Canis lupus familiaris: one gene and its partner. The protein of the gene in region 2 purifies or fractionates together with the protein of the main gene of each other region. This does not show direct contact. Links are inferred from orthologs where the notes say so. Each region holds a gene or a part of one and is shown on either strand. Other genes may lie near its edges. The genes, in order: tumor necrosis factor receptor superfamily member 10D-like and CASP8.

What was found.
Region 1: the proteins of CASP8 (region 2) and tumor necrosis factor receptor superfamily member 10D-like purify together in Homo sapiens (affinity purification with western blotting; 13 studies listed by BioGRID and IntAct, counting the BioPlex papers as one, with this or other methods). This does not show direct contact. The link is inferred for Canis lupus familiaris from reciprocal best matches to the Homo sapiens genes CASP8 and TNFRSF10A.

Annotation. Positions count from the first base shown.
Region 1 is NC_049239.1:47,463,217-47,467,511, forward strand, and holds the end of tumor necrosis factor receptor superfamily member 10D-like, read right to left. Parts: intron 4,202-4,295; coding exon 3,944-4,201; intron 2,992-3,943; coding exon of another isoform or gene 2,914-2,991; exon of another isoform or gene 2,892-2,913; intron 2,429-2,891; coding exon 2,386-2,428; intron 2,227-2,385; exon of another isoform or gene 1,654-2,226; intron 1,293-1,653; coding exon 988-1,292; 3' UTR 536-987; downstream 1-535. UniProt on the Homo sapiens protein: Receptor for the cytotoxic ligand TNFSF10/TRAIL. The adapter molecule FADD recruits caspase-8 to the activated receptor.
Region 2 is NC_049258.1:10,251,585-10,255,395, reverse strand, and holds part of CASP8 (caspase-8), read right to left. Parts: intron 3,765-3,811; coding exon 3,659-3,764; intron 2,650-3,658; coding exon 2,511-2,649; intron 2,409-2,510; coding exon 2,364-2,408; intron 1,987-2,363; coding exon 1,901-1,986; intron 328-1,900; coding exon 186-327; intron 1-185. UniProt on the Homo sapiens protein: Thiol protease that plays a key role in programmed cell death by acting as a molecular switch for apoptosis, necroptosis and pyroptosis, and is required to prevent tissue damage during embryonic development and adulthood.

The DNA of each region.
Region 1 (4,295 bases), on a different chromosome or scaffold from region 2:
TTGTAACATTTACTTTCACTGGAAGTCAAAGGCTTGGTACTGAATGGAAATAAGCAGGCTAATCTGTGAACACATCCAGGAACTGATGTTTGGGGTGAGGAGGGCAGAGCAGAGCTCACATTCTGAGGCATGAGTATTTCTGGACATAGAGACCCCTGGGGAACACAAACCAAAAGAGGCTTCTGCAGCTTTGGACCCCCATGCCAGAGCCCTCCCACTGGCAAATTAAATCCTGGGGGTCCATGTCTTCCTCTGTGCACGATACCCCCTGCCAGGGATAGCACACCCAAAGTTGTGTACACACCGGAAAGAAGAGGAAACATTATTTAAGATAAAAATTTTATTAAAAATAAATAACAAAAGTGCTTGACTGGCTCCATTGGTTAAGCATGTGGCTTTTGATTTGAATGTAGTGGAGCCCGCCATCAGGCTGGGCAGCTTGCTTAAACTTTCTCCTCCCCTTTCCCTCCCCCTCTGCCCTCCACTCCTGCACAGTATCAAAATAAATACAAAAAAAAAACCACAAACACAGGAAAACACAACAGAAAAACTTATACTTACTAAACTAATGCTAACTTTACAATAAAATTAAATGCTTCGCTTATTGTGGTCAGTGACTGAAAGCAGTCACTAAGGTGTGATTGAGGAATACTGCATTTCATTTATATCCTGTGCATTTCATTCACATCCTGGACATAAAAGACTTCAGCACAAGCAGCTACATTGTTTTAAATAGAAAAACAATTTCCCTTGGGGAAAGTTCCCTGAGGAATGTTAATCTAGTGAGGACCTGCTCACCCCTGGTTACACCTTGGCCACGGGTGATTCCCACAACTAATCTTGGCAGGAAGCACTCTCACTAAAATGTAGTGAGACACTGTTAATGGACGCACATGATTCTTTCTAACTGAAAACTGAGAAGTTTCCAAAAGGTAGACATTGGCATAGGTCAGATCCTGTGTGAAGGCATAATCCCATGCCAAAAGTTTAATCTGAGGTCTCTGCATGCCTGCCTAAGATGCCTTCAACAAGTAGTACGTTGATAATATTTTCCAAACACATATGCAGCTGCATTTTATGTAGGGCAGCCAACAGTTTAAAAACTGAGGCTTCCCTTCCCAGCTTGTTCCTCCACCTGAGGAGCATCTTATGATGCTGCTCCGTCAAATTGTCTGGGTTTTCGTGCTCGCAAGTTTCAATGTCCTTTTCTTCAAGACCGATAAGTCTCATCAGAGATTTCCAGTTCTTGTCCAGGATCATTTCTTCAAATTCATAATAGAGCCTGGTGGTACCTGAAAGAAATAAGAACAAAAAAAAACCACTTTACATTTCTGGGAGGACTGTGTGGCACCTCTTGTCACTACTCCCCAGGGGTGCAATCACAGGTGTCTCCTCCTGTCCCCTGGGGACTGGGCGACAGCTAGCACACCATACCCAGGAGGTAGAAGGTCCTGTGCGACCCCCTACCAATGTCACAGATTGGGTACGAGGCCAGGATACTGAGGTGGGGCCACAGCTCTTGCCCTGCTTATTGCTCATCACTGGAGCTTGGGAGAAGGAGCCAAGGATCCGGGACAGTTGGGGGCTGCACGGGGATCCACAGTCTGCTGCAGTTCACTTGCCCTGCTTCTCTCTCTTAACATCTCTTGATAGAGGCTGTAGGCTGCTCAAGACTGAGAAGGCCTGGTGTCGGCTGGGGACCACGGTTAGGATCTGAGACCTGGCACAAGTTTTGCAACCTATCAGTTTCAGACTGTCGTGTTTTTAAGCCTGGACAATGGGGCGGTCTTGTAGAGCTGCCTGTGAAGATGAACTATACAAAAAGCACCTGGCATGTGGTAGGTCTCAATCTTTGATGACCACCAAGAAGGGCCTATTCATCAAGGGTACAAGCATTCCTACCACCATTCATTCCTCCTTAAAAGACATGAACATATGATAAAATCAAAGCGGTATCTAATTTCTATGAACCCCCCCCCAAAACTCATGTTTGACAAGTGCTGTTTCCCCTAACGTCATTCTTGAGTGTGAAAAAGCGCATCTCAGGTTGGCACACGGTCCTTGGAAACAAGGACACCAGGCCTTGACACATAGGCCAAGCAAGATGAAGGCTTAACAGTTGCTATAAATGAGGAATTCAGGGGCACTTGGGTGGTTCTGTCAGTGAAGTGTTTGCCTTTGGCTCAAGTCATGATCTCAGGGTCCTGGGATTAAGTCCCACATTGACCTCCCTGCTCAGTAGAGTCTGCTTCTGCTTCTCCCCACTCCCTCTCCCTTCCCCCTGCTCATGCCCCACCCCCGCATTCTCTTTCAAATAAATAAAATCTTTTTTTTTCTTTCAAATAAATAAAATCTTAAAAAAAAAAAGGAATTCAGAATATGTACCTTCATTTGATGTATCTTTTACAAAATATCTCTTTGCATATTCCTGTGGAGGGAAAAAAATAAAATTGTTCCAGGAGAAGGAGGCTGAAACAGAACCACAATCTGGTTTGAGGAAGGAGCAGGGTGGGGGCAGGTGGGCCTCTATGGATATGTGATGTCCTTCGAGGAATCCACCATGGGGGCAGAGAGCTCACCGGCCACTTATGTCCTATGGGTCACTGTCCCCCAGGACATGCCCTGGGCCCAGAGGCAGCTCAGTGGTCCCTGCCTGGGCAGGTGGGGAACAGCTCTACTTTGTCACCTGGGGGTGACCTGCTCTGCTCCAGGGAATGCTAACAGAGAGCACACTTGTCCATAGAAATGCATAGTGAGATGCTAGGAGACTCAGATGCAGTCTCCCAGTGGAGGCCCACACCAGCTGCACCCAGCTGCCCATGAGCCGCAGCTCCAAAGCCCACTTCTCCTATGGGGGAGGTCAGGTTCCCCATCGGTGTCAGGCTACCTACTGTGGACATGAAAGCCAGGCCTTCAGACCCCAGCTCTGCCTCGCACCCAGTGCTGTTGGCCCCAGAAAACGACTCCCTGCTCTGTGCACTGGCTGCTTGGCTGTAAAACAGGGTAAGAAGGGAGGTGTCCTCATGGCACAGCCTGAGAGGGAGCCCCCTGCCTCCTGACACTCAGAGCTGGCAGGGCTCCCAGCTTCTGTACTGATTCCTCTCAGAGCCTCGGGGAGTCTGAAGACACTCAGGGGCTGTCTCCCTCAAATGATGCCTAAGAGCACCCAACCCAGGAATGCAGTTTCCACAGTGCAGTCTGCAACCTCTGCACCCATGCCAGGGGGCCCCAGGGTCCACGGCATCTGGCACAGAAGCCCTGGGACCTCTTCCCTGGGACTCACCTGTGCCCTGCCTGTAGGATTCAGAAGCCAGACCGCATCATTCCCTAAACATGGGCTCTGTCCTCCTCCTCCTGAAGAGCCCTACTCCCCAGAGCCACTTAGCGGGTGTTGGTGTGCCAACCCAAGACATGCACGCGCTCAGAGGCTGTGGCGTCATGCACCTGTGGGCTCCTGTGGGTGGAACTGCATCCCCCTGGACACTAGACTCCAAACCTGTGTATGTGACTGCAGCCAGGAACAGGGTTACGGCGGATAGGAAAGTTATGACAAGGTCATGGGGGGCCCACTCCAACAGTGACTGGTATCCTCACAAATAGGGGAAATTAAGACATAGACTTGCACATAGGGAGATGCCACGTGAGGATGGAGGCAGAGGGTGGGGTGACGCTTCCCCAAGGAGCCCCAAAGACTCCAGAGGCCTGGCACAGATGGGCCCTCTCAGCCTCGGGCAGATGCAGCCCTGATGACACGCCATCCCTGGGCTTCCAGCCTCCAGGACACGGAGACAAGGAACACCTGTTGTTTAAGCTGTCCCAGGAAACTCACACAGGAATTGTGCAAAAGCATGCATGGCACCAGTTAACACCGAGCTCTGCACACACTGAGTGCTCCATGAGCACAGGCTGTCATTACTCAGACCCCCTTGGCTGGCTCACGTACCTGTTCCAGACTCTTAAGGGAGGGGAACACTTCATTCTGGTTCTGTGACACAGAGACAGCCAGAGCAGGAGTCTGTACCACCTGCTCTGGAGCTGGGGGGCTCTCTCTGACCACCACATCCTGCAGCTCGATGCCCTCCTCGGTCTCCTCCAAAGGCCTTGGGTGGGGGCTTTCCTCAAGCCCCTCCTTCAGCAACAATGTTTCTATGTCCAGGGCTGGCTGGTGATTTTCGGGGTTCGAAGGGAACAGTATCTCAACCTGCAGAGGGCAAAGACAAAGTTATTTTGGTCACAGCAGCCTGCTGCACATATTCCGAGGGGAGGAGGATGCCAACTGTCTGATGGGTAAGCAG
Region 2 (3,811 bases):
AAAGTAGTTAATAAAACAAAAGCAGAAAATATATAAAAATGTTCTTCATTTCCACAAGGAAATATGATTACATTCATTTTTTTTCTGAAACATGAGGCCCTGTTGGTACAATTTTTGTTCTCACCTTTTGATTAAAAAACTTATATATTAGAAATATTTCACTTCTTTTCAGGGTTCTACTGTACCTGCATCCAAGTCTGTTCCATTCCTATCCTTAATGCTCTGAAGTTTGGGCACTTCCCTCCGTGCTACACTAAAATCATAATTGTTGAAGATCAAACAATATCCTCGAGGTTTGCTTTTCATTCGGTAAACTTTGTCCGATGTCTGGAAAACAAAAATCCAGCCCAAGAGCTGACTCTGTGAGTCAAACACTTGGGATGTGAACAAATAACTCCCTAGTAAGAAGTGAGGCTGTCCTCTTAGCCAAACGGGGACACAAGTGCACTTTCCATGGCCCTACCCCAACTTGACATTATTTCTCTGGTGAATTAGTTTCCACCTGTTCCTTTGACACGGAATCCCCACATTTCTGCCCCACAGTTGTGTGTAAAATCAGTGTCCCAGTACTTGGGCCTCTTGAGCACTTTGCACATATATTAACACTGTTGTCATCATAACATATTTTCACCATTTGTTCTTGTTTCTGCTCAAGACAACTAACAGCTGTGCCAGGAACTAGACTGTATTAATTTGTGAGCATTCAATCAGGAAAATGCTGAGTGGATGAATGTCTTAATGCTGTCTCTGGGCTGCCTATTGTCACCTCATGCTTCCACTGGCCATCTAGTCAACTCATCTATGTTTCTAGGCTAACAGCCCAGGGCCTGCCCTTCACACATGACATCGTACGGTCTGAGGATTTTGAAAGCCAATGACTTAATTTGGCTCTCAGGACCACAGGGACTGAAAGAGAGAGATGTACTAGCCAGGCAGGTCTTGCCTAACTGCAGGTTACAGTATCCTGTGTCCTGACTTTCCCAGGGTTGTTTCAATGCTGAGATACTCAGCATTTACTGGGAAACCCATGCAACTCCTCGAGGTAGAGAAAAGGGCTCCACACTAAAGGCTCAAATTCCTGGTTCTACTACTTAATAATCTTAAGACTTTGTGCAATTACCTAATCTTTCTGGCACTCAGGACGGTTAGCTGTTCAGTGGGGACATGAACACTCAGTAGAGTGCTTTACTATTTGCAAAGTGCGACATGACTTTGGTCAATCCTCGATTTTCAGGGCTAGGTAGGTCTGGTGATTTGCTCAGGAGCCCACTCATAACTGGTCTCTCTCAGTTTAATTTCAAGTCTCCCCCTGGACAGGTAGCATTCAGGTTTTCCTCTGCTTCCTGCCACAGAGAGGAAGTAAAAAGGGCTAATGGATCAAAATGTGGTTGGTGAATCTTTGACGGTTAATAAACCCAAATGATTATGTCTAGAAAGGCGATTCTTTCCCCAGCTCATTGAGATGAGAACATAGAGACGGCTAGATCATGAGTATTTGTTGCTTACCCCTAAATCAGCACAGAGAAACAGTTTTGAAATGTCACCCTAAAAGAAAAGGCTTTGCTTTTCCCAGTCCCACTACACTTTTCTCCCAAAGCCTTCTCCCGCTTCAGCAGGGCAGATGCTGAAAGGGTTGCCAGGAGGCTTCTCGATTCCTCAGCCCTCCAACTATTCCAATGCCTTTGTCTTTGGATTTAAAATAAAATTTTAATGCTTGTTACTTTTAAAACTTAAGAAAATCACATGTTAAATTTGTCTGTTTGTGAAAATTTTCTATACTTCTCAAAATTTCCAGGAAGCATCTGCCTCTTACTAGTTTATCTGGAAACTTGAAAGCTAAGGAATACAAGAACTAGAATCTGCAATCCAAAGAGAAAAAGGAGTCTGAATTTCTACACACCTCTGATTCATAGTCCTGTTCTCCTAGAGAGTCCGACATTGGCAATATCTTCACGGATCCCTCCCTTATAGGCAACTGAGACATATCTGGAATGAGACATAGAAGGGAGGGTATTTTGGTAAAGAAACACATAGCACCAAGGATACCATAAGGTCCCCTTTAAAATGAAAATTCATGGACTACCTTGAACATAATATCCTTGCAGTCCACAGAATAAAAATTGTTTTACTAACTCTTCACCTATTTTAAACTTGTCAGCCTGGGGCTGAAGGCCTATGTCTTTTGACAATAGTTGTGTATCTTTCAACATGTAGAGAGTGACAAGTAGGCACCAAGCCGCCTACTTGGTAGTAGGTATCACGTCCATTAAGATGTGGACGTGATAGAAGGTTGTGGGGAGAGGAAGCAATGGGGGTATCTGATAATAAATTAACTGAATAAGTCTTAACATATTTCATATTACCATTTGAAATTTCATCTAGACTTCTTTGAAGGTTCATTGTTTGCTCTGAATTAAAAAAGAAACATTTGATTAGAAATAATTGTGACAGAGGGATCTGTCAATTTAAGAATACATTTTGCTAATTCACAGTAGTCAAGTTATTTCTACCTCTGTTTAATTCTTCGTAATCTGTGATTTTCTTCAGCAGGCTTTTGTTGATTTGGTCACAGATTCTTTTCAGGGTGTCCAAATTTCTTTCCCCTAGAATGACCCTCTTCTCCATCTCTATGAAAATATCAAGCAAGTTCTAGAAGGAAGAGAAGTAAAGTTGGAAGACTGGATTGAGACATACTGGTTTTTAGATTAGATTTTCTTTCTTTCTTTCTTTCTTTCTTTCTTTCTTTCTTTCTTTCTTTCTTTCTTTCTTCTTTCTTTCTTTCTTTTTCTTTCTTTCTTTCTTTCTCTCTCTTTCTTTCTTTCTTTCTTTCTTTCTTTCTTTCTTTCTTTCTTTCTTTCTCTCTCTCTCTCTCTCTCTTTCTTTCTTTCTTTCTTTCTTTCATTCATTCATTCATTCCACTTTCTCCAAACAGAGGGCCTACTCTAGTTTCCCAAACTAACCCTCCTGACAGGACATCCCAGTCTTATAAAGCCAGTAGAGCACTAGTGAAGCAATTCTGTGTTGTATGGCCCAAGAAGACAGAAATGAGAAGGTAGAGGAAAAGTGACATCAGGTGTCACCCAGGCCCCAAGCCCTGTGCTGAAATCAGCCATGGACACCATTAGGTGAAGTTGTGAAACAGCTTGAGGTGCATGGCTGAGACAAGGTAGCCTGGTCCCCATAGTGACAGCCCTGGGAGCTGCGTCTCTCCTGACACTGCCTCTGGTCCCTGATCCACCTCCAGTCCCACGTTCACACACACACACTCACACACACACACACGTACACACATGCATGCACACGCACATGCACATATACAGAGTTTCAGGTCCCAGGTGGTTTCAGAGACTGCAGAAGTGGGAAGATGTCTCCAGCTCACCACAGTCCTTCCCCACATTGGGCTATGCTTCCACCACCAGTCTTCTTTCCGAGCTACTGACTCTGCCCTGCTCCTGATAATTAATGTGAGCAGTACTTCACAGTATACAAAGGAATTGTATCTGCAACACTGGGGCCCAACAACATTTTCCTTTCCCCTAGTTAAAAAGTGAGAGTCCAGGTTGCTTTTACTGGACCAGCCCTCTCTCCAGTCGCAGCAGTCCCCACTGACTGGCCCAACCTCAGGACCAGATCTTGGTGAAACATCACCAGGGCTTACCAAATCATCATCCAATTTACATCTGGAGATCTCCCGGCTCAAGAGAAACTTAAAGGATTTCAATTCCAATTTGCTTACATCTTCTGAAATCTGAAAAAGCATGACCCTGTGGTGGGAAATGGAGACACTTTAGAAATGGCTTCTCAGATAATT